Stegostoma tigrinum: one gene and its partner. The protein of the gene in region 1 purifies or fractionates together with the protein of each later gene. This does not show direct contact. Links are inferred from orthologs where the notes say so. Each region holds a gene or a part of one and is shown on either strand. Other genes may lie near its edges.

Region 1 (16,435 bases):
GAAATAACTGATGATGCCTTAATTCCGGATCAAAAACAAAGTTGCTGGAAAATTTCAGCAGGTCTGGCAGCATCTGTGAAGGAAAAAACAGTGTTCACGTTTCTGGTCCGATCACCCTTCCTCAGAATGGAGTCACTAGACCCGCATTCTGTTTTTATCTTCACAGATGCTGCCAGATCTGCTGGGCTTTTCCAGCAACTTTGTTTTTGTTTTACCAACAGTGTCTGTCTCTGGATTGCCCAGGCTTTGATGTTGTGCAGTGTTATTCTTTGAGGTTCTGCTAAAGTCGGTGTTCTGGTGTCTGAATCTTACACAGACATTCACCTTTCAGGTCCAGAATGTGATATTATTGATTATCAGAGGTGTATTCATTGTTCCTTGTTACATTTGGCATGAATTGTCTGTTTGAAAACACAGATTACCTGCAGTTAACGCCTTCAATTCTTCTGCATGGCAATCCCTGTCCTTGTGTTATAAAGCAAGTAGTTATCAAGCAGGCCTTAAAGCAGTTTTTTTCACTTGGCTTAAACTCCCTCTTTTTCCAGATGTGGCCAAATGCTTTCAATTCCCGTATAAGTTTGTTCTTGTCCCTTAATGGTTTATACCAGACCAAGTTATTGCTGCTTCTTTCCCTGTGTAACAGTTCATCTTTTGTTTGATTCATTCTTTCCATGAACAGTTATTAAAGTTCAGAAGCCTACACTGTCACAGCTGTGGATGAGGTCAGTGAGATGCTCGAATCAATCACTAACTGGGATATTGGTGGAGTTGTGTGATGATGCTGTGGCTTAAAAAAGTTACTTTGTCATGGTTTTTATTTTGAAGAGAGGTTTTAAGGCAGAGGTGGGATGAGCAGTCTATGAGAAGACAAACAGATCATGAAGCTTTGAATGATTTTTTTAAAAGGCTGTAACAATAGAAGCAGCCTGAATGGGCGTGATGAAGCTCCCAAGAAATGAAAGCTATTTTTCTCTCTCTTGGTTATAGCCACAAGCTGGGGGTTCCCTGCATTCTACATGAGTTGCATGTGAGACTATCTGTGTCTTGAATTCGCCTTTTGCCAAGAGCTAGTTCATGGGATTGGAACTGTTAATTAGTAATAGTTACTGTATATATTACACTGTTAAGCTTTCCAATAGAGTTAAAGTTATACCAATTCTTCTTTCCTTTGCTTGTATTAAACTATAAGGGAACAATAAAGTGTGTTTTGCTTAATCCAATCAAATTACATCTGTAACACAGCAACTTAAATCTACCTTTAAATAATGCCAGACAGACACAAGGGACTGAATGACCTGTTCCTAGGTTCCTAATTCTGCTCAGGTGACAGATTCCCTTGAACTGAATTGAAAATTCTGTTCTCCTTCCTGGAGATAAGACAGTCCTCTTCTCAACTGAGCTGGAGATTTAACTAAACTGAAATCAACAAGTTGATATTTTTGTTTTGCATGTTATGGACCAGATCAAATACCCCCTTAACTATACCAAGGACGTAATCCAGATCCAAACTTTTATCTCATTTAAAGGCAAGTGTAAGGTGCTTTGTTCCAAACATAATTCAATCTGTATTGGAACGGTTAATTACTAATAGTTTCTGCATTTATTTTCTGTTAAGTTTTCTAGTGGAGCTAAGTTATTCCAAGTCCTTCTTTCTTTTGTTGTATTTTAGCTATATTGAATGAATGATGTGTGTTTTGCTCTAAATCCAGTAGTTCTACCAATTGAATTGCATCTGAAATGCAACACCTTACACTTCCTTTAAAATAAGAATGTGGAGTTTGCATGTTCTCCCTATGTCTGAGAGAGGATGGTGCTGGACTTCATCCAAGTGATCTGCTATCCTGACACAATCGAAAGATGTACAGGTTAGGTGGATCGGCCGTGGCAACTGTAGGATTATAGGGATAGGGTGGGTGGGCGGTTGTCTTTGGGTCTGGTAAGATGTTCTTTGGAGGTTGGTCCAGATACAATGGGCCAAATGGTCTCTTTTTACACTGTAGGGTTTGTATGATTTCCCCAGATGTCAGTGCTTAGGCCACGGCTCTGTGTGGCAGTGTAAAGTTGATTTGATTTATTATTGTCACTTGTACCAGATATTGTGAAAAATATTGCTTTGCATGCTATACAGACAAATCATACCTTACATAAGTACATCAGGGTAAATAGAGCAGATTGCAGAATATAGTGTTACAGCTACAGAGGAGGTGCAGAAAAAGATCAGCTTTGATATATGAGAGATCCATACAGAAGTCTGAAAACAGCAGGGAAGAAGCTGTTCTTGAATCTGTTGGTGTATGTTTTCAAACTTTTGCATCTTATGTTTGAAGGATGTGAGTGGAAGAGAGTAGAACATGGGTGGGAAGGGTCTTTGATTTGGTTGGTTGCTTTCCCGAAGCATTAGGAAGTGTAGAGGGAATCAATGGGAGGAAGGCTGTGTTCACAACTCTCTGCAGTTTCTAACGGTCTTGGGCACAGAGTTGCCAAACCAAGCTGTGATGGCATTGGGATAGAATACTTTCTATGGCGCATCTATAGAAATTAGCAAGAGACAGTGTGGACAGGCTGAATTTCCTTAGCCTTCTGAGGACATCGAGGTGAGAATGTGCTTTCTTGACTGTAGAATTGATGTGGATGGCTCAGGATAAATTGTTGGTGATATTCACCACCTCAGTACCATTGACACAGACAGGGGCTTGTCCTCAACTCCACTTCCTCAATCAATGGTGCTGAGGTCATGGTGTTTGAGAGCATCTCCAACACCCCTGTTTTCAGAGCTTGTCTTCTCATTAAACCCTACTAATGGCAAAACGGCACCCCTATTTTACAATGGGAGTCAAACAGGTGGCTTTCAGCCAATCTGTCTGAACCAATACCCCTTCCAATAAAGACCATGGGGCTGCAGTGTACTCCCTCAGCAGTAGAAGTCACTGTTTCATTAAGAGATAACAAGATGTGGAGGTGAATGAACACAGCAGGCCAAGCAGTAGTGGAGGAGCAGGAAAGCTGACATTTCGGGTCTGGACCCTTCTTCAGAAAAGGACCAGAAAATGTTCAGACCCAAAATGTCAGCTCCTCTGATGCTGCTTGGCCTGCTGTGTACATCCAGCTCCAGACTTTGTTACCTCAGATTCTCCAACATCGCCAGTTTCTGCTGTGACTGTTTTATTAAGCCGATTTTAGCTCATTTCTGTGTCTGCTGGGCAGACGTGTGGGTACCGTAATGCTATGTATTTTATTGTTTAAAAATGCAATGAGCAAACATTTGGGCACTCAAAGACTTCTGTGCAGTCAGCAAGTTTTCGGTTGAGGATGCCATTCACAATGGGATCTCACTGTACATAGTTTGCTCAAATGTTGCAGTGCAGAGTAAAGACTTCAAAATTTGCCAATAATACTACGTTTGGAATTGGGCCAAAGCTGTGCGGATGATCGCACTGAAGAGCCACAGGATAGAGAGGCAAGCAGAATGGGTGGATAAATGGTGAATGTAAGAATTTAGAGCAGGAGTAGGCTGCTCAAGTCTGTTCTGCCATTCAATAGGATCGTGGCTGATCTTTTCAGGGACTCAGGTCCACTTACCCACCCACTCATCCTAATCCTTAATTCCTTTACCATTCAAAAATCTACCTTTGCTTTAAAAGCATTCAGTGACAAAGCCTCCACCTCTTTACAGGACAGGGAATTCCACAGATTCACACCCCTTTGGGGAAAGAAATTCTGCCTCAGCTCAGTGCTAAATCTGCTCCCTCTCATTTTGAGACTATGCGCCTCCCCCCCCCCCCCCCCCCCCCGCCACCCCATTTCTTGTTTCACCCACCAGTGGAAACAGCCTCCCTGGTCCTATCAGGTGGATACAATTTATTTTGGAGAAGCGTGACTATGAGCGGCCTGTTCCACAGGGTTCAGTGCTGGCTGCACTTTTGTTTGTCATTTACATTAATGCATTGTAGAATATAGAAAGCATCTCTAGTAAATGTGTGGAGGGCACCAGGATTGATGGTATCGTGGACAGTGTAGTGGAATCTTGATCAATTGGGTCAATGGGCTGAGGACTGGTAGATGGAGTTTGATTTGGATAAATACCAGTATTGCATTTTAGTAAAACAAACAAAGATAAGGCTTATACAATTAAAAATAGGGCCTTGGGTAGTGTTGTAGACAAAGAGATCTAGGGGTTCAGGTGCATAAGTCTTTGAAGTTTGCATCACACGCAGACAGAGCGTCTAAGAAGAGGTTTAGCACACTTACCTTCATTGCTCAGAGCTTTGAGATTACAATTGGGGTGTCATGTTAAGATTGTCCTGGATGTTGGTGAGGCCTCTTCTGGAGTACGGTGTCAACTTCTGATCTTTCTGTTATGGGAAGGATGTTATTAAGCTGGGGAGGGCTCAGAAGAGATTTACCAGGAAGTTGCTGGGAATGAAGCGTTTGAATTATAAGTAGAGGCTGGATAATCTGGGACTTTTCTCACTGGGGCGAAGGCGATTGATGGGTGACCTTAAGGAAGTTTTTAAAATAATAAGTAGTGTAGATAAATCAGAATGGTGAGTGTCTTTTCCCTAGGGAGGGGGGATTTCCAGACTAGGGGGTACAGTAGCTCAGTGGTTAGCACTGCAGCCTCACAGCACCAGGGACCCAGGTTTGATCCCACCCTCGGGTGACTGTGCAGAGTTTGCACGTTTTCTCCGTGTTTGCGTGGGTTTCCTTCAAGTGTTCCGGTTTCCTCCCACAGCCCAAAGATGTGCAGGTTAGATGGTTTGGCCATACTGAATTGCCCACACATCTGTAGGTTAGGTGGACTAGCCATGGGCAATGCAGGGCTACAGAGATGGGATGGGGCGTGGGTCTGGGCAGGATGCTTTTCATTTGTGTGGACTCCATGAGCTGAATGGCCTGCTTCCACACAGTAATGGATTCTATAGTGGGTATAATTTTAAGGTGAGAGGAGAAAAATTTTAAAAAGACACGAGGGGACTTTTTTTTTGCCCAGCGAGTGCTTCGTGTGTGGAATAATTTTCCAGGGGAAATAGTGGATGTGTGTATAGTTGCAACATTTAAGAGACATTTGGATAAGTACATGAATAGGAAAGGTTTGGAGGGATATGGGCCAGGAGCAGGCAGGTGGGGCTAGTTTAGTTTGGGATTATGATTGGCATGGGCTGGTTGGACCGAAGGGTCTGTTTCCGTGCTGTGTGACTATATATAAGTGTGAGGCTACAGTCATGAAGGTGCATTTATTTAATATGTTAATTTGTAATATGGAAGCATTGATAGTATTGGGGCTGGCCAGGCCTGAAAGCAGCGTAAAACGGCTGGGAAGATTTTTAGCTGAAGCAGTAGTTTGTTTAGTTTGACATTTAAACTTCAACTATGAGCTGTGGTAATCGCAGTGTCTGGCGCTGGAATACATCCAAGGTACAAGATTAATGCAGTCCACAACAGGGCCGTGCACTCAAAACAGAAAGGGTGGTGTTGAGTAGCTGCTGCCTCTGTTTGTACAGAAATAGATGGATAAGGAACGTCTTTGAGGATGCTGATTGAAAATCCTATACTACGTTTGTTCAAAGTCTGGGATTCAGCCCAGGGTAGGAAGGAAGGGCACAATGCGGAGGTGTTCTGCAAAGCGGTCCCCAAGCCTCCACTTATCCCAGGCCCCAAGATGACTTTCCATATTAAGCAGAGGTTCATCTGCACATCTACCAATGTGGTATACTGTATCCATTGCACCCAGTGTGGCTTCCTCTACATTGGGGAAACCAAGCGGAGGCTTGGGGACCGCTTTGCAGAACACCTCCGCTCGGTTCGCAACAAACAACTGCACCTCACAGTCCTAAACCATTTCAACTCCCCTTCCCATTCTTTAGATGACACGTCCATCATGGGCCTCCTGCAGTGCCACAATGATGCCACCCGAAGGTTGCAGGAACAGCAACTCATATTCCGCTTGGGAACCCTGCAGCCCAATGGTATCAATGTGGACTTCACAAGCTTCAAAATCTCCCCTTCCCCCACCGCATCCCAAAACCAGCCCAGTTCGTTCCCCCCGACACTGCACCACACAACCAGCCCAGCTCTTCCCCTCGACCCAGTGCATCCCAAAACCAGCCCAGCCTGTCTCTGCCTCCCTAACCTGTTCTTCCTCTCACCCATCCCTTCCTCCCAACCCAAGCCGCACCTTCATTTCCTACCTACTAACCTCATTCCACCTCCTTGACATGTCCGTCCTCCCTGGACTGCCCTATCCCCTCCCTACCTCCCCACCTATACTCTCCCCTCCACCTATCTTCTTTTCTCTCCATCTTCGGTCCACCTCCCCCTCTCTCCCTATTTATTCCAGAACCCTCTCCCCATCCCCCTCTCTGATGAAGGGTCTAGGCCCGAAACGTCAGCTTTTGTGCTTGAGATGCTGCTGGGCCTGCTGTGTTCATCCAGCTTCACACTTTACTATCGGGAATGATGGCTGGATATGAGGGGAAATGTGAATAATGTAGAGATGATAGAATTTGTGGTTAGCACTGCTGCCTCACAGCATCGGGGACTTAAATTTGATCCCACCCTCGGACAACTGTCTGTGCAAAGTTTGTACGTACTCCCCATGTCTGCATGGGTTTCCTCTCACACTGCAAAGGTGTGCAGGTGAGGGTGGGATTGGCCATGCTAAATTGTCCCATAGTGCCCAGGGATGTGCGGGTTAGGGTGGGATTGGCCGTGCTAAATTGTCCCATGGTGCCCAGGGATGTGCAGGTTAGGGTGGGATTGGCCGTGCTAAATTGTCCCGTAGTGCCCAGGGATGTGCAGGTTAGGGTGGATTGGCCGTGCTAAATTGCCCCATAGTGCCCAGGGATGTGCAGGTTAGGGTGGGATTGGCTGTGCTAAATTGTCCCATAGTGCCCAGGGATGTGCAGGTTAGGGTGGATTGGCCGTGCTAAATTGTCCCATAGTGCCCAGGGATGTGCAGGTTAGGGTGGATTGGCCGTGCTAAATTGTCCCATAGTGCCCAGGGATGTGCAGGTTAGGGTGGGTTGGCCGTGCTAAATTGTCCCATAGTGCCCAGGGATGTGCAGGCTAAGGTGGACTGGCCGTGCTAAATTGTCCCATAGTGCCCAGGGATGTGCGGGTTAGGGTGGGTTGGCCGTGCTAAATTGTCCCATAGTGCCCAGGGATGTGCGGGTTAGGGTGGATTGGCCGTGCTAAATTGTCCCATAGTGCCCAGGGATGTGCAGGTTAGGGTGGATTGGCAAACTAAATGCCCCGTGATGTCCAGGATGTGCATACCATTTGGATTAGCTGTGTGAAATAGAGGGTCACACGGATAGGGCAGGGTGTTTACATCTGGGTGGGATGTTCTTCGGAAGACGGGTTTGTACTCTGGGCTGAATGACCTGCTTCCACACTGCAGGGATTCTATGAATCCAAATGTTAAGAATATCGACGTATCACTCCTGGGTTGTCTGGGAATTATTTGGTGCATACAGGAAATGACTTTCCAATAAAAGAGGGAATAAACAGCTGCCACCATAAACTAATGTTAGATGACCTCCAGGTCTCCTCCCTGCCTGAATTACAGGTACCGCAACAGGAGAAGATTTGAGGATGAAGAATCTGCCGGGACTGTGGAGTCTTGCATTAATATCCGGAAGCATGGGACCAATATTGGAAAGAGCAAATGAGGAAGTACAACCGATGGATCGAAGGGAGACTTTAAGGACTATGGGCTTTATTTGCTCTGTCAGATGGGACATGTTACACCGGGGGGAATAGACGATGATAATGCATAGCTTGTGGTCGATTTCGGTAAGGGACATTAAGTGTGTGCGGTGTTCTACAGGCAGCCTGTTGAATGTGTGTCAGAAAAGGTGTTAAAATGACAGTTTTATGCACTTTTGGAGTCTTTTGTTCCCCTCCCCATGTTCAGTGGACTACAGAGAAGGGGGTGGGAAATAGTGTGTAGATATTATGAATATGTAGGGGTGCCAGTAATATCATTACATGTCTGTTTTCACCGCACTCCTACCACCCCCACCTCCGAGAAGCGGGAGGGAGGATGGGAGGGGGGACAGAGAGGAGGGGGAGAGAGGGAGAGTTGGGAGTCGGGAAAGGGGGTTGCGGTGTGTCAGTGAGCTGCTCCTTGTGCAGTTTGTATTGGATTGTTCCGCAGTTACCAGCAGAGGGACTCCTCAATGCGGATATTACAGAGCAGGAAGCTCCCTCCCACCACCCCCTGTCTCTCTCTCTCTGTCCTCACGCCGGCCTGGGCCGAGGGAGTCTATTCTACCCGGGGAGCTGCGGCCAGGACAAGAAGGTTCGTAACCTCGCCCTGGCTGGGGGCTGGGGGCTGGGGGCTGGGGACAGAGACAGAGACAGAGCCAGAGCTGCATTTAGCGGCAGCAGAGGGAGCAAGAAAGAGCCATGTGTCATTTTATAAAAGTGATACTGGTGAGGGATTGGGGGGAGTCTCAGAGTGGGGCAGGGACAGAGGGAGGGGAGTAGGGGATGGCAGGGACAGAGGGAGGGGAGTAGGGGGTGGCAGGGACAGAGGAAGGGAGGAATGAGAGGATGGGCAGGGGAGAGGGAAGAGAGAGAGATGGTGGGGGTTGTCGGGGAGAGAGTGATCCAGGCGCTCCCGTGCTGGGAGGGCCTGCCTCCCCCACCCCGAGCCTCGGGTTAATCCACCGCCGCTCTTGTACCACCCAGTCCCGGGCTCTGAGCTGACCCTCTCCCGCTCAGTACCAGCACCGCTGGCTGGGGCTTTAGCTTTCATTTACCTTATTGCACCCTTTTTTTTGCTGCTTTGATTTTGCTTATTGCGCCTTGCTGGCCCTGGGAGGTGAGTGTATCTCTACCTCTTAATTCCCTGCCTGTCTGTGCCCTGAGAGCTGATGCAACCGGCTGTAACTTTGCAGCACATGCTAAAATACTTTATCAAGCTGTGGGTCTGCTTCTTTCACATCTGTCTGCAGAACACCACCCGCTCCCTCCCCCTCCTTCTTTATTTTCTTCCCAGCCCCTGATTGCCCCTCGGGCTGAATGCCTTGTTGGGAGAGTCAGTCCCATTTGCTGGTCACAGATTTCCTCACCTAAATACCATCCATGTTGTATACTGTTTTTGTTGTTTGCAGTACAGATGCTCATCTGCAGTCATTTGCTCCTCTTTAAACAGCTGCATGGATGGTGGAACCTGGAACCCCCAGACTTTCTAGGCTCAAACTGCCAACAGGTCCCCCACCCCCATCATCCCCACTTTGTACTTTTATAAATATTTCTATCATTTTACTTAAATTAAGGAGGGATTTGAACCCTAGTCGCTAGTGCATTTGGATTTTCAATCCAGTGAAATTACCACCAAGCCACCATCTCTATCTCTCTCTCTCTCTCTCTATCCTCCTTCCCCCCCACCCGCCCCAAAACATGCGTATTAAACACAGCAGGCCGGGCAGTATCAGAGGAGCAGGAAAGCTGACGTTTCAGGTTTACACCCTTCATCTGATGCTGCCTGGCCTGCTGTGTGTTCCTCCAGCTCCACGCTCTGTTATCCCATTTTGAAATGCTGTTGGCGGTGGAGCAGTATTTATTTTCTAATGAACCTGCTCAAGGATGTTGACTTAGACATGCATTGCCAGGCTCAAGAGCAGCTTCTTCCCCACTGTCAGTCTGAACAAACTCCTCAAATTGCAAATTTAATGTTGACTCCACCCTTTGTGCACCTTCTTAACTTTGCATTCCTTGCTCTGGATGTGAGTTTGCTCGCTGAGCTGGAAGGTTAGTTTTCAGACATTTTGTCACTTTTTTTTAATTTGAAAAAATATACTTTATTCATAGAATGTACAAAAAATAAAACATTTATACACCTACTCAGTCATGCAAGGCACTCCGGGTTACCCAGGGGGTACGTACACCAACTAAAGGCAAAAACAAAACAGAGAAAAAAAAAACAAATCAAAGAAAATACCGCGGCAGTCGTCACCCCGCACAGTCCCCGTTGGCCCTCTGACCAGTTGGGGAAGGCGCCAGCTGGGCCCAGTTACCAGATAGGGTTCTTTTCCCTTTTCTGGATGAGGGGGCTCATACGGTGGTCTTTCCCCACCGCGCCCTGGCGGCGGCTGCCCCAAACTTTAGTGCGTCCCTCAGCACGTAGCCCTGGACCTTGGAGTGCGCCAGTCTGCACCACTCGGTCGGGGTCAGTTCTTTCAGCTGGCAGACCAGCAAGTTGCGGGCAGACCAAAGAGCGTCTTTCACCGCATTGATGGTCCTCCAGGCGCAGTTGACATTGGTCTCGGTGTGCGTCCCCGGAAACAGCCCGTAGAGCACGGAGTCCCGGGTCACGGAGCTGCTCGGGACGAACCTCGACAAATACCACTGCATCCCCCTCCAGACCTCTTGCGCGTAGGCACACTCCAGAAGGAGGTGATCAACAGTCTCGTCCCCTCCGCAGCCACCTCGAGGGCAGCGTGCGGTGGCGCAGAGATTCCGGGCATGCCTAAAGGATCTCACTGGCAGAGCCCCTCTCACCGCCAGCCAAGCAATGTCCTTGTGCTTGTTTGAAAGTTCTGGCGATGAGGCATTCTGCCAAACGACTTTGGCAGTCTGCATGGGGAACCACACGACGGGATCCACCCTCTCCTTTTCCCGAAGGGCCCTAAGGATACTACGTGCTGACCACTGCCTGACGGCCTTGTGGTCAAAGGTGTTTCCTTTCAAAAATTTCTCCACGAAGGACAGGTGGTACGGGACGGTCCAACTACTCGGAGCGTTCCACGGCAACGAGGCCAGGCCCATCCTTCGCAACACCGGGGACAGGTGGAACCTCAGTAAGTAGTGACACTTGGTGTTTGCGTACTGAGGATCTACGCACAGCTTGATGCAGCCGCACACAAAGGTAGCCGTCAGGGCAAGGGTGGCGTTCGGTACGCCCTTTCCCCCATTTTCCAGGTCTTTGTACATGGTGTCCCTGCGGACCCGGTCCATCCTCGACCCCCAAATGAAGTGGAAGATGGCCCGGGTGACCGCAGCGGCGCAGGTCCAGGGAATAGGCCAGGCCTGCGCCACATACAACAGTACCGAAAGCCCCTCGCACCTGACAACCAGGTTCTTACGCGCGATGGAGGGGGACCGGAGCGTCCACCTGCCCAGCTTCTGCTTCAATTTGGTGATATGCTCCTCCCAAGTCTTAGTGCACGCCCCAGCTCCACCAAACCAAACACCCGGCACCTTCAGGTCGTCTGTCCTGACGGTGAAGGGGATGAAGGAGCAGTCGTCCCAGTTCCCGAAGAACATGACCTCGCTCTTACCCCTATTGACTTTGGCACCCGAGGCCAGTTCAAACTGGCCGCAGATGTCCAATAGTCTACTCACCGACCGACGATCGGTGCAGAAGACGGCGACGTCGTCCATGTACAGGGAGGTCTTGACCTGAAGGTCTCCGCTGCCTGGGATAGTCACGCCCTTCAGGCTCACGTCCTTCCTGATGGAGGCAGCGAAGGGCTCCACACAGCCCACGAACAAGGCAGGAGAGAGCGGGCAGCCCTGCCTGACTCCAGATCTAACAGGAAAACTGTCTGATTCCCACCCGTTGATCGAGACTGCGCTAACGATGTTGGCGTAGAGCAGCCGGATCCAATTGCGGATGCCCTCCCCGAACCCCAATTTGGAGAGGACGTCCCTCATGTAAGCATGAGAGACCCTGTCGAAGGCCTTCTCCTGGTCCAGGCTGACGAGGCAGGTGTCCACCCGCCTGTCCTGCACGTAGGCGATCGTATCCCTGATGAGCGCGAGGCTCTCAGCGATCTTCCTGCCCGGCACAGCACAGGTTTGGACAGGGTGAATCACCGACTCCAGGACAGACCTGACCCGGTTGGCTATGGCCTTGGCCAGGATTTTGTAGTCCACGTTCAAAAGTGAAATGGGACGCCAATTCTTAATTTCTTCCCTCCCTCCCCCCCCCCCCTTCCTCTTGTAAATGAGGGTGATGATGCCCTTCCTCATGGACTTGCACATTTCCCCTGCCCGAAGTGCACTATCGTACACCTCCAGCAGGTCCTGGCCAACCAGGTCCCACAGAGTGGAATACAGCTCGACCGGTAAGCCGTCGCTCCCGGGAGTCTTACTCCCCTCCAAGAACTTAAGGGCTCTGGTCAGCTCGTCCAGGGATATCGGCCGGTCCAGCCACTCCCTCGTGCCGTCGTCTAAGACCTCCGTGATAGACGACAGGAACGACTTGGAGGCCGTGCTGTCCGTGGGCTTCGTGTCGTACAGTCCGGCATAGAAGGATCTGCTGATCCTCAAAATGTCGGGCCGAGACGACGTCACCGAGCCGTCGTCCTCCTTCAGCCGGCTAAGCACAGAGCTCTCTTTGTGCACCTTCTGAAAGAAGAAACGCAAGCACGTCTCGTCCTGCTCCACGGAGCGGACCCTGGACCGAAGATTATCCTGGAGGCCTCTGCGGCGAAGAGCGAGGCTTGCTGGCCCCTCACCTCGCGGAGGTCCTCCGTGACATCGACCCCCATCAAATGCAGAAGGAGCAGGTTCTGCACCCTTTTCTGGAGTCGCGACAGCTTTCCCCGCCTCTCTCTCGCCTTCCGAACACCCTTGAGGACAAAGAACCTCTCGATGTTCTCCTTCACCGTCTCCCACCAGTCGCCCGGAGACTCAAAGAGGGTTTCACGGTTCTCCAACCGGCGTACTCCCTCTTAAGCTCCTCGACGTTCTCTGGGGTCAACAGAGTCGTGTTGAGCTTCCACGTCCCCTTGCCGGCCGGCTGGTCGTCCTGTAAGTGACAGTCGGCCAGCAGGAGGCCGTATCCCGCACTCCTGCAGAAACAGGAGGTCAGAGAAGAACACCAGCTCGACGCCGCTGGACCTGACCGAGAACGTCCGTGACACAAACAGGAAGTCTATCCTTGAGCGAATAGACCCGTCTGGCCACGACCAGATGTATCTCCGCTGCACTCCGTCTGCAGGGGTGCTGAAGACGTCGAACAGCTTGGCGTCCTTCACCGTGCCCATCAGGAATCTGGACGTGACGTCCAGTTGACTCCCCCCACCCGCTGTCCCCACGCCGGATCTTCCATCTGCATCAATGACGCAGTTGAAGTCTCCGCCTAGGATGACCAGGCCTGGATGTAGCCAGCAGGAATGGAAGCCACTGCAGGACGGCCAACTGCTCACTCCGTACCGCTGGGGCATACACGTTGATCAGCCTCAGGGGAGCGTTCCTATAGGTGATGTCAGCCACTAGGAGGCGCCCCCCCAACCACCTCCTGAACTTGAGAGATGGTGAAGTTGCGCCCCCGCAGCAGAATAGCCAGATCCAAGGAGCTACAGTCATTACCCCCGACCAGATCGAAGGCCCACAGGTCCAGGCGCCGGACCATTTCCCGTACCTGCCGAGGTGCGGTATCCCGCACTCCTGCAGAAACAGGAGGTCCGCCTTGATGGTGGTCAGGTAGGCCAACGTGGACACGCATCTTGCGGTTGACTTGACACTGCGCACATTAATGCTCACAACTCGTACCCCCATTGTGGGCAGTGACCGCAGTACCCTCCCCAAGTCCAAGGTCCAGCCCCTCCATCTGTCCCTTCGTGCCCATTGCCCGGGCTAACTGCTGGACGCTCTCTGGGCTCAGGAAACTGTCCGTGCTGCCTTCTGGATGGCATCCCCCCGTCAGGGGTGCGGAGGCAGGAGGGTCCGGCTCCAGGTCAGGCTGGGGACGTGCTGTTTCCTCCTTCCCGCCTGGAAGTTCCGGGGGGCCCTCCAGTGCTCCAGCGGCACTTGACTGGGTGTCGGAGTGAGCCTCAGGATGCCTCCCGTCACCTGGAAGCGGGGTGCTGCTTTCCTTCCCCCTCGAGACCTTTAACTTCTGCTTCGGGTGGGCCCTCTCTGAATCCCCCTCGTCAGAGGAGCTCTTATAGCCCCCCTGTAGCTGCCTCTTCCCGCCTGATGGTTGCGGTTCCTGGGCCCGTCGACGCACCTTCCTCCTCGCTTTCCGGACTGTTGTCCACTCCCCTGGGTCGCCTGTCGCCGCCTCCATTGGCTCCGGGTTGTCGGGGGGGATCAGAGCCTGCAGGGGCGCTTTACTGGCCTCGGGCCCATCCTGCGGGGCTGGGCCCTCCTGCACGGCCTGGCCCTCCTGCACATTAGTGGGGTCCTTGCTGGGCCCTGGTGCCTTCCTCTCCTCCGGGGGGGGGGGGCTGGCCCTGCATTGCCCCTGCCGGCGACCTGGGCGTAGGTGGTCCCCTGGCACGGGCATGCCCTATAGAGGTGGCCCGCTTCCCCGCAAAGGTTGCAGCTTTTCTCTCGTGGGCAATCCTTTGCAAGGTGTCCCTCCTCCCTGCAGTTCCTGCAGATGGTGGCTTTGCAGTCGGCCGCCACGTGACCTGACCTACCACAGGCATGGCAGCCTTTGGGTTGCCCTGCGTAGGTCAGGTAGCCCTTGCTCCCGCCGATCGCGAAGCTGGACGGTGGGTGTATGACATCCCCGTCTGCGCCCATCCTCAGCGTCACCTTGACCTGCCTCTTACTCGTCCAGATGCCAAAGGGGTCCATGATGTCAGTTAGGTCCCCTTCCACCTTCACATACCTTCCGAGGAAGGTCAGGACATCAACTGCTGGCACATGCGGGTTGTACATATGTACAGTCACCATACGGCCCCTCTCCGCTGGCATCACAAACAGTGGGACAGCGGTCAATACAGAGAGGGGTCCCTCACCTCCTTTCTCCTTGAAAACCTCCAGGAAGCGCTCGCAAAGCTTGGCACTCCTGAAGGTCACATCGTAAAAACCTCCTCCGGGGAAATCCTGCAGGCAGTAAATGTCCGCAGCAGCGAACCCACAACAGTCCAACAGGACCCTCTTCACGAAGAAGGTGCGGTCCACAGGTGCACCTTCATCCACCTTCTTTACGGAAACACGGATGGTGTTCCGGACCCCCTGACCTGGGGCACGAGCACTTGCCGCAGCCATCCTTGCAGATTGGCTGCTCCCCTGAACCAGCGTTAGGCCGAAGCCAGCATTAAGATACACTGGTCGCAAGGGTGCACAGCCAACCTGACGTCCTCCTTTCACCTCCAACACAGCACTCTCCTCCTCTCGGCCCACAAGAGAGTGGGTCTTTATTGTGTTCAAGATATAAGCTGCTTCACTGAGCTTGAAGGTTTGTTCCCAGACATTTCGTCACCATTCTAGGTAACGTCAACAGTGAGCCTCCGATGAAGCGCTGGTGTTATGTCCCGCTTTCTATTTGTCTGGTTAGGTTTCCTTGGGTTGGTGATGTCATTTCCTGCGTTGGTGATGTCATTTCCTGTTCTTTTTCTCAGGGGATGGTAGATTGGCTCCAAATCAATGTGTTTGTTGATGGAATTCCGGTTGGAATGCCATGCTTCTAGGAATTCTCGTGCATGTCTCTGTTTGGCTTGTCCTAGGATGGATGTGTTGTCCCAATCAAAGTGGTGTCCTTCCTCATCTGTATGTAAGGATACGAGTGATAGTGGGTCATGTCGTTTCGTGGCTAGTTGATGTTCATGTATTCTGGTGGGTAGCTTTCTGCCAGTTTGTCCAATGTAGTGTTTGGGACATAACAGCAGCGCTTCGTCGGAGGCTCACTGATGATGTTACCTAGAACGGTGACCAAACGTCTGAAAACTACCTTCTAACCTTCCAGCTCAGCGAGCAAACTCACATCCAGAACCTCAACCTGAGCTACAAATCTTCTCAAAACGTGCTATTCCTTGCTCTGTTCTATCGCCCTATGATCTTTGTAGGTTATGATGTGCCTGTATTGCACACAGAACAGAACTTTTCACTGTACTTGGGTACATAATAAATCAAATCAAATCCCCAAAGAAAGGAAGCCCCTCTGCAGCAGGTTTATGTGTACGCTGTGCATGAGATCGATCCTGAAACGGTTTGGCTTTACCATGCTGCACCATAGGTTGCTGTGTGTGTGTGTGCACGCGTCTGGAATTCCCGCTCCTTCAGAACCTTCGCTCCTTCTAAAAAGAACAAAAGCCACTTTCTCCTGGTCACCAACATCTCTTTGCACACGGCAGAATGACCTTGTTGCTTCTCTTTTGTCTCATCTATGTGAAACACCTCAGCACGGATTAACAAGGCCCTAATATTACTTGTCAGCTGGAAATATTGCTCTAAAGAACCCATCGAAGGGATCGGACGGGCTGGGTTTGTTCTTTTTTTTTGAGCAGGGACCTGATGATCATCTCTATCTCGAAGATTTGGAGGGGCAGAGATGGGAAGGGTTGGGAGGGCACTTGGTCCACTAGGGGACATAGTTTGAAGGTGGGAGTTAGGAGACAAAAAGAGGAGTTGAGAATTATTTTTGTCCAGAGGGTGGTGGGACTCGATGCCTGAACGCATGCTTGAGTTACAAACTCATGTCCCGTTTGAGTGGCATTTGGATATTCGGCTTGATTGCCGTCGCCAG
Region 2 (15,989 bases), on another chromosome or scaffold:
AATTTCAGTTTTGAACATGTTCTCACCTTCAACTCCCCAGATCATCAATTCCCCTTAGCTGATGGACATGGGAAAACCAAATCATTCCAATTCCAGAACAGGTACATGTAAATAACACTGACAGTCAGTGTTTGGAGGAAATCCGAAAGGGGTAGGATGAGTACGTCAAGGACAAGAGGACAAGCAAGAAGGGACCATATGAGAGCAAGAAGCAAATCTGTGGAGCCAGAGACCATGTAACTACTACTCCTCCAAGGTAAAGACCGATGAAGAGGAAGTACAGAATTCAGGTTCTTGATGGGTTTAACCTTGGGAGTGAAGTGAAATTCTTTAATTTGAAAGCTTAACATGGACGAGTATCCAGGCGCAGGGTGAGTTCTATTCCAAGCTGTGCAAAATAAGGAAGTCGTAATTGGTCTGACCTAGTTTTTAAGATCATCTCTGGCTACAGTGAAGGTACCAGAGGACTGGAGGATAACTAGTGGGGCTCCACTTTGAGAAGAGGTAGAGATAAAGGCAATTACAAACCAGCAAGTCTCCATTGTAGGGAAACTAAGTGAGAAAATTTTGAAGCAGAGAATTAAATCTCTACTTGGAGAGACAAAGATTCAGACAGGCAAGTTTGATTTAATTGAGATGATCGGTGGTATGCATGAAGGTAGTGCAGTTGACATCAAAGCCTCCGAGAATCTCCAAAGTAGGAGACTAGAGTTCACACCATACGAGATCCAGGGTAACAGTTAGCTTAGTGGTAGGAGATCGATTGGTTTGAGTGTGGCGGCCAGAGTATGGTGGGGTAGCACAAGGGTCAGTGCAGGATCCCTTCTTGTTGATGTAGATACAATCAAGAAAAAAATGGGAGGAATAAATCTTAGGTTAGCAGATAAAGTTTGGCTAAGTGGTCAACAATGGAGGGGTGGTGCCTTAGGTTACAGAAGGATAAAATAGCTTGGTCAGATCAGCAGATTGAATTTAATCTTGGAGTGCACAAGGTGATGCACTGGAATTAACAGCATACTCAATAGCATGGAGCAGTTTAGAAGCAAAGAAAGGCTGGATAATCTCACTGTTAAGAATAGAAAAGAAAGAGACCTGATACAGCATACCAGATTGAGGAGCAAGGACAAGGGGAATAGAAAGCACCTGTTCCTTCAGTCGAAGGATTGATAACAAGGGGGCAGACACACAAGGTGAATCGCAGGGGGTTTGAGGAGGATTGCGATTTTATTTCACCCAGGAGGGCGCCAGCAATCTGGAATGCACAGCCCAAAGGGGCAATTGAGGCACAAAACCTGAATATTTACTAAGCACCTGAACAAACTTGAAGGATCAAAACATTCAAGACACTGGGCAAAGTGGGACCAGTATAGACATGGACTCAAGTGCCTTTTCTGTACTGTATGGGTACAAGTCCATACAAGCTATCAAACAGGCTACAACGTGAAATCCTGCAGCATATCATTTACTCACCCACCGTAACGTTAAGTTTCACCTCAAATGTATGCACTTAGACCACAAACTACTGTTTCATCTTGTTTGCCTAAGCAAACACCAAATTCTGCACAAGCAAATCTCTGCAGTTGCAACAGAAATTTACAAAATACAACCACAAAATTCAGCCAATGAAGTCAATTTCAACATTCAGGCCTGATAGTCAAACAATTTTTACTGAAAGCAATGAAAGTTTAAGGGAAAATATAACACTGCTAATGTTACTTTATCCAAACAGATCAGGGATTTGTACTTGCCACCTCAGTTCAGCTGTACAGGAGGTTCTGCTATAACGTGTTCTGACAACACAAATTGACTGTAATGCAACTGACAAATAGGGGAATGCTATTTCTTCAACACAAACTTGTGTTGGCTATAGCAATTCCATCAATTGGGCATCTTGATGTCAAGAGTCCTTTGCTAATGGTATGTAGTGTAGACGTCATCAGGAGCTTGCTGGAAGGACACAAGCAGTTATAATAGTCAGGGGTGACACTGTCTATAGTTTACTGTCATCCACCACTCAGGCTGGCATCACGTGGCTTCTTGTGGGTCTACTGTTACTGCTGCTCTTCTCTCCTCACCCCACTTTTTGAAAAGCCCTTCAAGCAATCTCCAGGTTGGTGATAGTTGAGACATACCTTAAATTCCATTTACCACTTTGCTCCATTACCTTAACTGTAAAATTCTCATCCTTATCAAATCCTCAAGTCTTAGCTCAATTTGTAATCTCAAACAATTGAGCAATTTGCTGAAAGAAGTGTTTTTTTCAAGTCCAGCCTCTTGCACACCTGATTTTCGTTGCTCCACCACACTTTCTTTATTCACTGCAGTCCAACCCCCAAAATTTCCATTTCTTAGTAACCCTTCTGTCTTTCCAAAGATTCCTGAAACTGACTGATCATCAGCTATCCTCATCTGGCTTGGCACAGATTCTTGTTTAATATACAAGACTAACTGTTTGCATCATCCCAAAACCCCAGAAGGAGCAAACATCCTCAGTAAGGAAAGGAATACCTGATGTGCCAGCTCATTACATAAAGGGTTGTAGGAGTGTGGCAGAATTTTGAGCTCAGTCTCACAATCCATCAGATTGTTTAGAGACTCTCATGCGAGTCTTGGATAAGGACATGGAGGATTGTAAAATGCAGGATATACAAGGTAGATTGATCTTACTAGGATAATAGGGCAACACAACATTGTGGTCCAAAGAGCCTGTACTATGTTGTAATGTTCTATGTTCAATGATTTCAAACAGCTGTTAAGAACCGAGTTGGACCAACCTGTCCAAACAGCTGTTGACAACAGTACTATCCTTTGTTACCTTTTTTGGTGGTCCGTCCACCCTGCCACCGCCCCACACACATCATTCCTCCCCCCACCTTTCCCACTGGCTCGATTTTATATGACATGAAGTTGCACTGGAATGTAACTATCTAATTAAAGCAGAATCCCCTGTAAAAAGGACATTAAGAGTGAATTAGTGAATAAGTATCAAATCGCTGAAGCTGGCAATGACCAGCCAAAATCAAATTTGCAGAAGCTCACTTGCTTAATAGGTCAGCCATCTACCTTCATTAATCAGGTTCAATATTCTGTAGGAGTCAGCATAACACTTAATTCTTTGCGACACAATAAGTGAGCATTTAACACAAGTCAAAGTGAGAGGACAGCTCAAAAGTACTCTGACCTCAGCAGTTCTGGCTACTTGAAGCAGACTAAGTGATAAGCTTGCCAATCTTTTCTGAATGATCAATTTAAACTTACAAAGCTCTTCCTCAATAATTCAATGAAGTATAATAGGAAGCTTTAAAAAAATCCATTCAAATATATTGTTTTTGTTTTATAAAAGTACACAGGCTTTTCAGCAGCCAATTGCAGATGCTTAAATTGAGATTTGTTTGCTCAATAGTTGGAAACATGCTTACCTTGTCATCTTCAACTACACACTGAATCTGTAGCTTTTTGATGCCATAACCCACAGGAACCAGTTTGGCTAGAATGGAAAAGTAGTTATTAGAGAATTTAAAAAGCTACCATCCTTCCTAGTTTCAGATTTAGGAAGGACAAAGAAACAACCCTCAAAAGCAGAAGTCTTTATGCCATAACAATATGCCAAGATACAAAAATGTCACTATTACACTTTTACTGAGAACTTTACCCAAGATGGCCAAATGAAATTTGGCATATTACTCATGTACATAACAGCAGTTTGCGATCAGAATGATAGACGCTGCTTCCTGATGCTATACCAAGCCAACAATCCATTTGTCTACTTAGTAATTCTGCAGTTTTCCAAAACTGGAAAAATATCCGCAAAGTGACTTGGGTTGGCCTCAAGACCTGAACTTATCACTATCTAGGTCATTACAGAATATTGCAAGCAGTCTGGCCATTATGTAAAGTAATAATACTCACAGGCACCCCAAAGTAAGCCGTCCATAGTCACTGAACGGACACACTCTTCCATTTTGATCATGTCAGTTTCATCATCCCATGGCTTCACATCCAACAAAATAGATGATTTAGCAATAAGTGCTGGCTCTAAAAAAAACCGACAAGATCATGTCATGAGTGTGATCATTTATTAGAACATCAGCCTGCAATTACATGCAGTTATACAAAGGACTTGCCATACCACTGTATACCTCAGTGTTCCAGTTCTCCACAAACTCCTTACCTACAAAGCTGGAATCCTCTGAGTGGGTAATTTCTCAATAAAAAACACTGGTTTTGTCAGATTCAATTAATTCACATCACTGATTCAGTCGAAAGATGGTGAATTGAAATCATCATTAAAACCACTGCATTTCACAGCATTCATTTACTTAATGCTGATTCCTTGCAACTGCATTACAGAACATGATACATTAGGAATGAAACAAACTGAAGAACTGGTGTTGTTGTTCATCTATTATAGTATTTGCACAGCTGAACGTCTCCACATTCAACACACTTGACCCATAATAGGACATATCATACTAGGTTAAGGAGAATTTTAAACAAGTTGATAAAACATTAAGCACTCTTTACTAGAGATCACTAAACTTTGAAGTGACACTACATACTTTTGGACTTCTTAGCTTCATATTGGGCTAGACGTTCTTCTTTAAGCCTTTTAGCCTCTGCACTTTCCTGCAAGAAATAGATACAAGAAACTGTCAACTACACTTGTGGAACAATGTAGTAAAATATAGTTCTGACACTGCTTTCTCCTTACAGATGCTGACTTTTTGCCAGCAATTTGTTTCAGATCTCCAGCATCTGCAATTTTAATCAGATACAGTAGGGTATTCATTGGAGAAAGCATAACCACAAAATCAGCCAAAGGATGACAAATGTAAAATCAAAAACAAGCGCCAGATGCTTGGAAATCATAAACAAACCAAGCCATTCTAAATTCAGTAACCTCCGATTTGGAACCAAATCAGTTTCTCAGGCTGCCAGCAACCCCAATTTTATAGATAAATCTTTTTCAGCTGGTCACAATTGGATACTCCACAATCCTAGAGACAGAACAAACTTGGCTTCATTGTCTCAGCCACTAGTTTTTGAACAAATTCTGCAAATTTACAACAGTTATAAGCTGCTTTTGAAGTTAGTACAGTTACAGATACTTGGTGCCTCCACCATGCAGGAGGAGGTGTTTGAGGGCAAGTAATGTATCAAAGCTGAAGTCTTTCAAATTTGTATTTTTGAATTCAAGCATACTTGAAAACAGTTACCAAAGTTTTCACGAGACTACAGAAAAAACATCCTTCAACTTTATCTCAATTCAGGCCAGGAGGGTTTAAGCAAGTACAAAGAGCTTCACTGAACCTACCTCTTCATCATCAGATCCAAAGAGATCAATGTCATTGTCGTCATCATTGTCATCCACAGCTTTTGCTGTTGTTGTATCTGCTACATTTTGTGGACCATATTTACTAAGGGGCTGCTTAACACCTGGAAGGCTAAGAATGGCTTAGAGTCAGAAATGCAAATAGGCAAGCAAACATCAGTATTTAGAACTTCAGAAGTAGTGACAGGATTTCCCACTTCTGCAGCCCAGCAAATTAATGCTGAAACACAAACAGTACAAATCTTGAAATTTCATTTGATACAAAATCTGCTCTATTACAACCCCCATGATCTTGTCTTATCTACAAGACACTGTTGGTTTTGGAGTTGCAACCATTCTACCTCAAGTTAAAATTTCAATGAAGCCTTTAGAAATGAAGCTACTTTCCAGGTCAAGGGATTGCTGCTAATTTTGGAAACTTTCTGGAATCTTTCTGGAATTGGAATTCTCCAACTGGAAAATGAAATTGGCATCTAACTCAAGCCTGCACTATAAATCAAGACATTTGGAAAACAATTAAATAGAAATAATCACTACACAAAAAAAAGCATAAATCCACAGATTTTATATACAGCTCTGATGCAATGACTAGGCCATTAAAATCACTGGTTTGTGGCCTCAAAAGTTATGCTCTTCAAAGAGATAGAGTCGAGGGTGGCCTACAGAGATCCAAAGTTTACACCATGGATCTAGATCAACAACTCGTGTATATTATGTAACACCTGCTGTCACTGCGTGTGGAAGGTCAAGATGATACAGCTCATCTACTGATGGATCTCAATGGCAGTTGCCATGGCATGGGAACTATAAACCACAAGTCTCTGTTTCAGAGATGCAATATTTGACTAAAAACAGATCGAAGTTAATTTAAGAGATGGTAGGAACTGCAGATGCGGGAGAATCTGATTTAACAAGGTGTAGAGCCAGGTGAACACAGCAGGCCAAGCAGCAGAGGAGCAGCTTTCCAGCTCTACACCGCTTTATCAAAGTTAATTCAAGTTCACTTTTTGTCAAATGACTTGCAAGACTGGTATAGACTACACAATGAAACTGCAATCATCCACACAATGCAGGTCATCCATGATGACAGCAATCAGTTTAATTTAGACACAAAAGCAGCCACATTGCATTTGATAATCAGTAATGCAGGTTTTTCCTTGAAGTGATCGACCAATGAAGTGTAAACACATTAGTATCAGTCTTTTGGGGGTACAGCTTGAAGTTGTCCCAAGATAAACTCAAGGGAAACTTTGGTCATTGAGTTTTGAAGTAGACAGGGTCAGAACAGGAGAAAGCAGAGAGCACAACCACTGATTTGGAGGCAGATCTAACCATAGTCAGGGTGGAAGAAATGAGTGGCCTAAGGATGTGGAGAGAGTCTGGACGCATGAAGAAATTAAGGCTGTTGGGCGACTGATCAACTTAGGTGAGCAACCAGATGATGAGAAATAAAAACATGAAAAATGAAATAAAGATCGTAGATACTGGAAATTTTAAACAAAAAGAAACTGCTGGGGAAAGTCAGATCTGGCAGCATCTGTAGAAAAAGCATAGAGCCTGGGGATTGTTCTGCACGTGCATCTCGGAACGGATTTCTTTCTGCAGATGCTGCCACACTTGTAGTGTTTTGCCAACTGTTCATTATTTTAAATGGCATCTTCTTTGGCAGGCATCAAGACATCAACGGCAACAAATGTGCTAAGAGGGGGGTCCTGTTTGCATACCGAACGTTTCGATCGTCAGCAAGCCCCATCTTCAAAATGAGACAGAGGCTAGCTGAATGTTCTTTGAAAGAGCCAGCACAAGCTTAGACCAAAAGAGCTCAAAATGATACATTATATGGCTTACAACAATTCAGTAGGTATGTTTGACTAATGAGATGATTAACTCAAGCAAATCATTCTCAGCTTGAAAGTGAACAGTTATCACAAGGTCATGTGAATTGTCAGTTAGAATGGACATTTCAAGTCCACAAGATGTTTAACAGACCTCATAACAGGAACATTCACCTCCGTGCAGATCAAAGGAAATGACACCCTCAACAGCCAGCCTGCATGAATGACCAAATATACTACTGCACAACTTGAACAGCATTCCCCTGGATGATCTAACAGACATCAAAAAGGTCAAGTTATTAACCACACTGCAGCTGTTTTATCTTCCCAATAGTTACACAGGCTGTAACCATAAATAGTGGGACTCAGTAGGTGTCAAACAGCTCATATCAAACATAACATACCAAGCCTTGGTGCTTTCATAGGATTGGATATGGTTGTACCAGCGAAGTGCATGGTGGAAGTCAGCTGATGGTGGAGCATCAAGAGCTTCAAACACAGCTATATCAGCTTGTGACGGAACATACCTATAACAAATTAGGAATTACTTTACAAAATCAAACAACATTGCCCCACAGACACACACAACTACTACTGCAAACAAAGTGAACCATCATGTCGAAGAGCTGAACTTAAAAGAAAACAAGAGAGATAAATAAAACAAAACCTCATCTCGGGTGTTTGGAGAAATAGGGAATGGACAGCTGGGATGGGATTTGGGAGGAAAAAAAGTAGGAGACAGTCCAAGGGTGTTAGGAAGTGTCCTAGGGCAGGGGAAGACAGTAAGCAAGAGCGGTATATTTTGGGAGGGTATAGAAATCGAAAAGTCAGATGGGGGCATGACAGCCCATAGCATTGAGATAAAATGGGGAGGGTGAAAGAGAAGCAAGAAGAAATTTACCCAGAAAAGATGCCAATACAGCAGCGGGTAGACGAAGGGAAAGGGTAATGGAGGGCGGAGAATCGGGTGAAGAAAAACACGCCTGAGGATTGGGGCAGGGAAGAGCAAAAAAAAGGGGTGGGGGCGCGACGGAAGAAGGGCAACGGCTAAGACACGATCAGAAGTAACTTTCAGCTGTAACGCGTCCCAAGGAAGCGTGCCGAGGGCGTGAAGGGTCGACGTGGTGAACAGTCCGAATCGGGTCGCCTACTAGCCTAGATCCTTATCCAGCTGGCGGCGTGAGGGCCTCAGGCCGGCATGTGCCAACATCAGCCCCCTCCCCCTCCAACCGATCCCGTCCATCCTCAAGAGCGGCCTTACCCACCCCTCGATGTAGCTCCGGTCCGCCAGGTAGTCGTTCAGCACCTGGAGGCCGGAGGGAGATTTGAGATCGCCGAATCCCATGTCCAAGAGAGAGGTAGAGAATAGTGGGGTGGTAGGTGACGGGCAGGCCGGTGGACTTTGCAGCTCCTAAACTCCGATTGCTTCGCCACCGCGAGCGGCAGCCGTTACAAAAAGGGCGACCGACCACGCGCGCCGCCTTTATATCCTCGCCGGAAAGAGGGTCGGGGGGGCGGAGCCTAAAAAAAACAAGAAAATAATCCAAAACAAACACGACCACCCTCCCGCAACCGAACACATTTTTGAAATTAAAGTTAAGCTGCGACGGGCTCGCCTCGGGAAAGTTCACGTCGACTTTTGGGAGGGGGAGGGTGGAGACGGAAATAGCCGAAGCCTGTGTTTTTTAAAAGGAAACCCACCCCACGCAACCAACACCCGATTTTATTTACGCGTTTCCTTACGGTTATAAAGCTGAGTTGCGGCAGGAGGAGAGGAAGGGGAATGTTAAATCGGGAACGTTGTGATTTTGCGGGTTTTTTTCCGACGACGCCCGTCTTTCCGGAGATTGCCGAGTGGTGGTCGGATGGAGCCGAGTCCGAGCCGCCATTGCACCGCTGTTCTGGTTGGGGAGGCTAAATAGCGAAACGAGTGTTGCTGGTGGCAGAGAGCAACGTCTGATATTGGCTACTCTTGTCTGTGATTAACTGAGGTAGTTGGTGTGCTCGGTGGAATAATTTCGCGACCCTGTTCTGGTGTCTGTCGGTTGCAGACCCAGGTTTGTGGGCTTTGCCCTTGAGCAGAATCTTTGAGTTTTGCCTGAGAGGTTTGTGAACCGTCTGACTCTCCTCTCTGCGTGTGAGTGTTGGTCAGGTTGAACTGACAGTTTTAATGCGACGCTGTTTGTAAACACAGTCTTTCTTTCCCCAACACTTCCACCCGTCCTTTTTTTAAAAAAAATATGATTTAACCTACCTTGTTCTCTTATTTCCCCGTCAGTAGCTAATGATTTCATTCTGCATTGTGTTGAAATCAAGGTGTGTAGACTGAGCTATGATTTCCAGTATTTTTTTTTTGTTTTCTGTACCGATTCCAGCATCTACAGTAGTTTGCGGCTGAACACACTGAGACTAATTGGCTGTAGGACTGTTGAAGAGTCACTGGACCCGAAACATTAACTTTTTTTCTCACAGATGCTGCCAGACCTGCTGAACTTTTCCAGCAACTTCTGTTTTTGTTCGAAACGTTATCACTTGGTTTCCCTCCAAAGATGCTACCGTATCTGCTGAGTTTCTCCGGCAGTTTGTTTGTTTTTGTTTCTGGCTTACGTCGTGCACAGTTGTTTGTCTTTTTTGTGTGAGTAGATGCTGCCCAAAGCCATCCCACAATAACAACAGATATCCTCAGAATCTTCCTTGTCATCTCAAATGTCAGGTTGAAGCCTCCCATTCAGAACCTTGAGTGACAAATCAATCGCGTTTTTTAAAGGCTGTGATTTTTTTCTGCTGAAACCACAAGCTGTCTGCTACTGGGTAGACTTAAAAACTTCCTTCAAATATTTTGAAGAGTAACGAAATTATCCCTGTTTCTTGCTGAATGTGTTGTGTTTGCTTAACTAGCTTCACAGTGTTGTTTCTGTGACCTTGCTGTGTAAACATTTGTGGTGTTTCCTACACAAGAACAGTAACAATTTTAGGAATGTTTTCTTCAATGTTAAAACACTTTCACATGATGTGATAGATGCTATCATAAAATTTATTTTTGCTGCCATTATTCTCTGAAATGCATGGTGAATTTAATGCCTTTGGTTGATATAGCTTTTTTTTATTCGTTTGGGGATGTGGTTTTGATTAGCAAGGTTAATATTTATTGCCATCCCTATTTGTCCTTGCAAAACTGGTGGTGATCTGTTTTCTTGAACTGCTGTAGTTATTGTGTGGTTTAGGAGGAGGTTTTGGGATTTAGACCTCCATAGCACTCACCAAGGAATGGTGATTATATTTTGAATTCAGGATGGTGAGTGCTATGGGTGAAAACTTGCAGGTGGTGATGTTACATTCATCTGCTCCCTTTCCTAGAGAAGCAGCTGCCGTCATTGGTTTGGCAGGTGCTGTCGAGGCAGATTTGGTGAGTTGCTGCAGTTGGGATCGGCTCTGAAACAATATTGGTGTTTTTGTGGAGGATACCTGCAATCAACATCACTTGATTCCTTCTAAGCTACCAGTTCAATCCTTGGTGCAATATCTCACTTTTGCCTCACTGTGAAATCAGTGTTCCTTTTGTTGCCATATAAAATTGCTCTATATGGGATTGTCTTAAACTCCTGCACATCTTCACTTGTATTGTTTATTTGATCCTAAGCACCTAGTGATAAGGTTCTAAGCGCACATTTCACTAAACATCCACTTACAGGCCGTGAACTGGCTAATCACAAATGCAAGTATAGTATATCAATGACTAAAAATAGGAATTTGACTTACCTGCCATGTATATCCCGAAACGTGATTTTTGGGGCTAGAGAAACGTGACCATGTTGTGCTGAATCAATGCTAAGTTCTGCAATTTTGTAGAATCGGTAGTGAATGTTTTCAAATTGACCATTTTTCATGAAATGGTAGCTAAAGGGTGCAATCTGGCCTAACATGCTTCAGCCATCATATGTTGCTTCAGTTTAGTGCAAAACCCTGCATAAGATAACATATATTGTTAATTATAAGCTGGGCATTCTGTAATTTTGAATGCTAATATCCTCAGACTGACGCAGAATAATATTTGAGTTGTTTCAGTAGATCACCCCAGTGTTTCATCAATAATCAGTGTCCACAGATTAGAGCAAGCAGGCTTGCTATCTTTTGGTGATGTACTGAATCTTGGCATCTTCAGATCCTGATTGTTCAAGGTTTTTGTTGCTGACAGAATCAGCTTGGTGAGAGTGGCAGAAAGGTGGCTGAGAATCTTCAAATATTGCTGTTCCTTCAGTGTCACTGGGTCAAAATCCTGCAATTCTCTCCCAAATAGCACTATGGGTCTATCAGCACCAAATGAACTATAGCAGTTCAAGAAGGCAGATCATCATCACTTTCTCAAGGGTGACTATGTACAAACAATGAATGATGGCCCAACCAGTGCCATCCATGTCCCTTAAGTGAATTGAAAAAAATGCCAAGTTTCTCACAGCTCAGATTTCAACCTTGAGCAACAAAGGAAACATACTTCCACTTATGATCCTAACCTCAAAAAGGATAACTTCGATCAAGAATTCCTGAATGGGGGCTTTATATTAATTTTTCTGTTCTAGTATAGAACAGCCTGAGCAACACTTGTGACCATTAAGTGAACTCTTGCTGTTTATGCAGGTCTCAATCATGCTGCGATTACCTGTGCTTCGCAAGGCGTTAACAGGTGTTTCCCAATCTGCCAAAGATATCCTGGGAACAAAGAATAATGGTATGAAAACTACTGTGATCAACAATACAGCTGATCTTAAAAGAATTTCATGCACACATTTACAAGGGTACAATAAAATGATCACTTTTTTTGTCATGCTTGTGCTAAAAATGAATGAGAGCTAATTTCTTATTGATTTGCCCTCTGGATTTTGGCTTTTCTGACCTGACCAAGTTTATTGACAGCCCTTGTTTCCTATGAGAAGATAGCAATCAGCAGTTATAAGTACTGGGCTTGCTGGGAGCCATCAGTGAGCTTTTAGTGTCACCATATTCTATGGGTCTGCATCATGTTTAGCTGGCAAGGTCTGAATTGCATCAGTGAAATGTCTACATTTTGAAAACAATCCTTTCATGATGCCTTAATTTCAATATATGGGGAGAATGTTGATTCCTTATTTTCCTTTTTTCTGTCTCATTCTGTTGCAGTATAAGTTTAACAGCACTGAAAGCCCCACACGGTCGAATACTTCTCAACTCTTGATTATGCCCTTTTCCTGCTTCCATATTGCATAATCTTTTGCAAAGCAGCCACCCTCTGTTTTCCACCCTCACCTTCCATGACAAATTTTTGAATTATAATATTACCATTCCTGGGAGTTACAGCATGTGTAGAACGTAATGAGTTTCTTCCATCAAGTGACCAAAGGAGCTTCTCGTTGAAGTGTCACATCAAAGGAAATTATCTCCAATGTGCATCTCTAGTCTTTAGATATTCAGATTTGATATACTTAACCTGTATCTTTGTACATTTTGTCCACTTTGCCACACCACAACACGCCATAGCCCTGCCCACCCCAACCCAAGCTCAGTCACTGGCAGTGACCTTGTTTGGAAAATACCGCTCGAGTAACAGAAACCAAATGGATTATTCATTTGCGCACTGCAATCCCAAAATGACACTTTGTAAAGTTATTTTATTCGTGTCTTTGTAAAAATTTTCTTGCTGGTACAACAAAATCATTGGTAAACTTCCTTATTTTACTTTTCAGCTCGCAGCACTGCTACAGCAGCGAGCAACCTGGTTGAAGTGTTTATTGATGGCAAGCAGGTGATGGTGGAGCCTGGAACCACTGTTCTGCAGGTACAGTTGCGAACCTAAGCATTGTGAATTTAGGCCTAGGTCGTGCTGGAAAGGATTAAAAAGAGATTCCTGCAGACATTTACTTCAGCGGAATAGGAAAGTCAGAAACAAGTAAAATTGCACGTGGATCAATCTTTGGACATTCAGCATAATGCCAGTATTTATTACTGTTGTTTAATCTTGTGTTCCTAGAGTTTCTGAACTGCAGAATCTTGCAATCCACAAATAGGACCCAGTTGGCTGGGCTTTGACTAGATTAATGGGGGCAAAAGTACTGTATGTTACCTATAGGTTGAAATGTGGATACTCTTTCTGCAATAAGTGGGAGATAGTCACATGTCAAGCTGTGCTTATGGCACAAAAATAGATGTCATTGTAAATGGAAGTGTAAAATTACAGCGATATTGATGAACTAACTATAAGCAAAAGTGTAATAAGAGTTTTGATATAGATTAGTGCGAGAAAATCCACTTTGGAAATAAAAAGGATAGGTCTCCATACTCTTTTCATGAAACACTAGACACAGTGAAGATCCATATACCCAGTCTGTCACAATGCCATGGACATGTACAGAAAATAATCAAGGAAGCCAATGGAATTATCAGTTTTGTATTGAGAGGGTGTCAATATAAGAGGAAAATTTGTGTTTCAACAACACTACATTAGAACATAAAACAGTACAGGCCCTCTGGCCCATGATGTTGTGCCAAACTTTTACCTTAACGCTAAGGCCTATTTAACCTCCACCCTTACCTTATACTATTGTCCACATGCCTATCTATTAACCGCTTAAATGCCCCTAATGAGGCCGACTCCACTACCCTCTCCGGCAGTGCATTCCACACCCCTACCACTGTCTCGGTGAAGAACTTGCCTCTGCCTCCCCTGTATCTACCTCCACTCACTTTAAAACTATGCACCCTCATAACAGTTGCCTCCACCCTCAGAAAAAGTCTCTGGCTGTCTACCCTGTCTATACCTCCGATCATTTTGCACACCTCTATCAAGTCACCTCTCATCCTTCGTCATTCTAAAGAGAAAAGCCTTAGCTCTCTCAATCTTTCCTCGTAAGACCTTCCCTCCATTCCAGGCAACATCTTAGTAAATCTCTGCACCTTTTCCAACGCCTCCACATCTTTCCTGTAATGAGGCGAACAGAACTGGACACAATACTCCAGATGTGACCAAACCAGGCTTTTGGATAGCTGTCGCAGTTTTAGTTAATAAACATCAGGAGTGCTGTGTTAATTTCTGGACACTCCACCTTTGGATAGATATGTTGGTTTTAGTTGGATTATGATTTAGGTTTACCAGAATTATGCTGGATTCCCATGGATTAAATTATGACAGGTTGCATAAACCAGGATAGTATCCTCTCATGTTGCAAAATTTGAAGGGAGATGTGATTGAAATTTTCAAGGCCAGAGGTCACTGACACCATGTTATAGTCCAGCAGGTTATTTCACCTGATGAAGGAGCAGCGCTTCAGAAGCTTCTGATTTGAAATAAACCTGTTGAGCCATAACCTGGTGTCATGCGACTGGTACCCCCACATGACGAAATTTTCAAAAAAGAGAAACAGAGTTTTTCTCTATCTATCCTATTTTGGCTGGTTTTGGAGGTTTTAAGATATGGAGCAGAGACTAAAAATAGAGTTACGTATAAGATCTCGACCGATTATGATATGTCTTTTGCGATTAACTGACAATACAAGCTTAGTTCACTTGGCTGGTTTGCAATGCAGAGTGACACCAACAGTATGGGCTCAATTCCCACTGGCTGAGGTTACTATGAGGACCTTCCTTCTCAACCACTCCCTTACCTGGGGCGTGGTGACCCTCAGGTTAAACCACATCAGTCATCTCTCTGTAATGAGAGTGCAACATGTTGTCCTGTAGGACTAGAGCAGCTTTACCTTTAACTCTGTGCCGCATAACATTATCCAGGTATCCATCAACTCATTAGGTAACAAAATGAAGAGCTGGATGAACACAACAGGCCAAGCAGCATCAGAGGAGAAGGAAAGCTCAAACCTAGACCCTGTTATCTCAGATTCTCCAGCATCTGCAGTTCCTACTATCTCTGAAACAACTCGTTAGATAAACAGTTTTCCCTATTTAAACAAGAAAACATGCCTATGAAAAGTAAATTATTTATTTGTTTTCCATTTTGTGATCAATCCATTTGTCTCTTCTGATCACAGGCCTGTGAAAAAGTTGGCATACAGATCCCTCGGTTTTGTTACCATGACAGATTGTCCGTTGCTGGGAATTGTCGAATGTGCCTGGTGGAAATTGAAAAAGCTCCTAAGGTAATAAAAGTGTTAGTGCTTTCTGATGGATTTTCAATTGGGTGAATATGCTGGACGAGATGGGCAATAGAAAGTGATGGGTAGGGAAATAAATTCCATTGTCATAAAATTGAATACTTACTTCAGTAAGAGGATTTTTGTGCCTGGGAAACGATGATCTTCCTACAGGAAAACAGTAGTGAGTCAACTGAGAAATAGAGTGCAATCAACATTGTACAATGCCATTCAACACCTCCCTCTGACTGACTCTGTCTTTTTTTTATTCCTCCTTACCCCTCATGACGGAATACTTTCTTTACTTGCCAACACTTAAAATGCAGAATTGTCCCCTCTGTTGATAATGTGCTGTTGGAGGTGGGACACTGCACACTTTTTACAAAGAAAAGAGTATCAATTTAAAACATGTTCATGTTCCTGAAAAGTAAAAGATAATTTATTTCAGAAATTACAACTAACTTCCAAAACAGGTCAACAACAAGACCCCCTTCTTAAAAAGGGATTAAATAAAAAATACTACAGGGTTTGAATCTCCCTGATCAAACCATAAATATTGAAGAGGCAATTATGAATAATTATATTATGTCCATATGAGTTACTTTCTGATTTAACATATTGCTGTTATTTTGATAATTTAACTGAGTGCCAATTAGGTTTGCTTTTCTTTTTAGCCTGTAGCTGCCTGTGCTATGCCTGTGATGAAAG

What was found.
Region 2: the proteins of vars1 (region 1) and eef1b2 fractionate together in Homo sapiens (co-fractionation; 3 studies listed by BioGRID, with this or other methods). This does not show direct contact. The link is inferred for Stegostoma tigrinum from reciprocal best matches to the Homo sapiens genes VARS1 and EEF1B2.

What each region holds. Positions count from the first base shown.
Region 1 is NC_081387.1:26,733,793-26,750,227, forward strand, and holds the start of vars1 (valine--tRNA ligase), read left to right. Parts: upstream 1-8,192; 5' UTR 8,193-8,302; intron 8,303-16,435. Other genes in the region: histone H2B-like, read left to right, coding at 1,190-1,200. UniProt on the Homo sapiens protein: Catalyzes the attachment of valine to tRNA(Val).
Region 2 is NC_081360.1:12,907,964-12,923,952, forward strand, and holds the start of eef1b2 (elongation factor 1-beta), read right to left. Parts: upstream 8,631-15,989; 5' UTR 8,513-8,630; coding exon 8,433-8,512; intron 7,695-8,432; coding exon 7,572-7,694; intron 5,445-7,571; coding exon 5,315-5,444; intron 4,627-5,314; coding exon 4,560-4,626; intron 4,036-4,559; coding exon 3,910-4,035; intron 3,488-3,909; coding exon 3,420-3,487; intron 1-3,419. Other genes in the region: ndufs1 (NADH-ubiquinone oxidoreductase 75 kDa subunit, mitochondrial), read left to right, coding at 11,797-11,893, 12,885-12,976, 15,180-15,287, 15,956-15,989. UniProt on the Homo sapiens protein: Catalytic subunit of the guanine nucleotide exchange factor (GEF) (eEF1B subcomplex) of the eukaryotic elongation factor 1 complex (eEF1).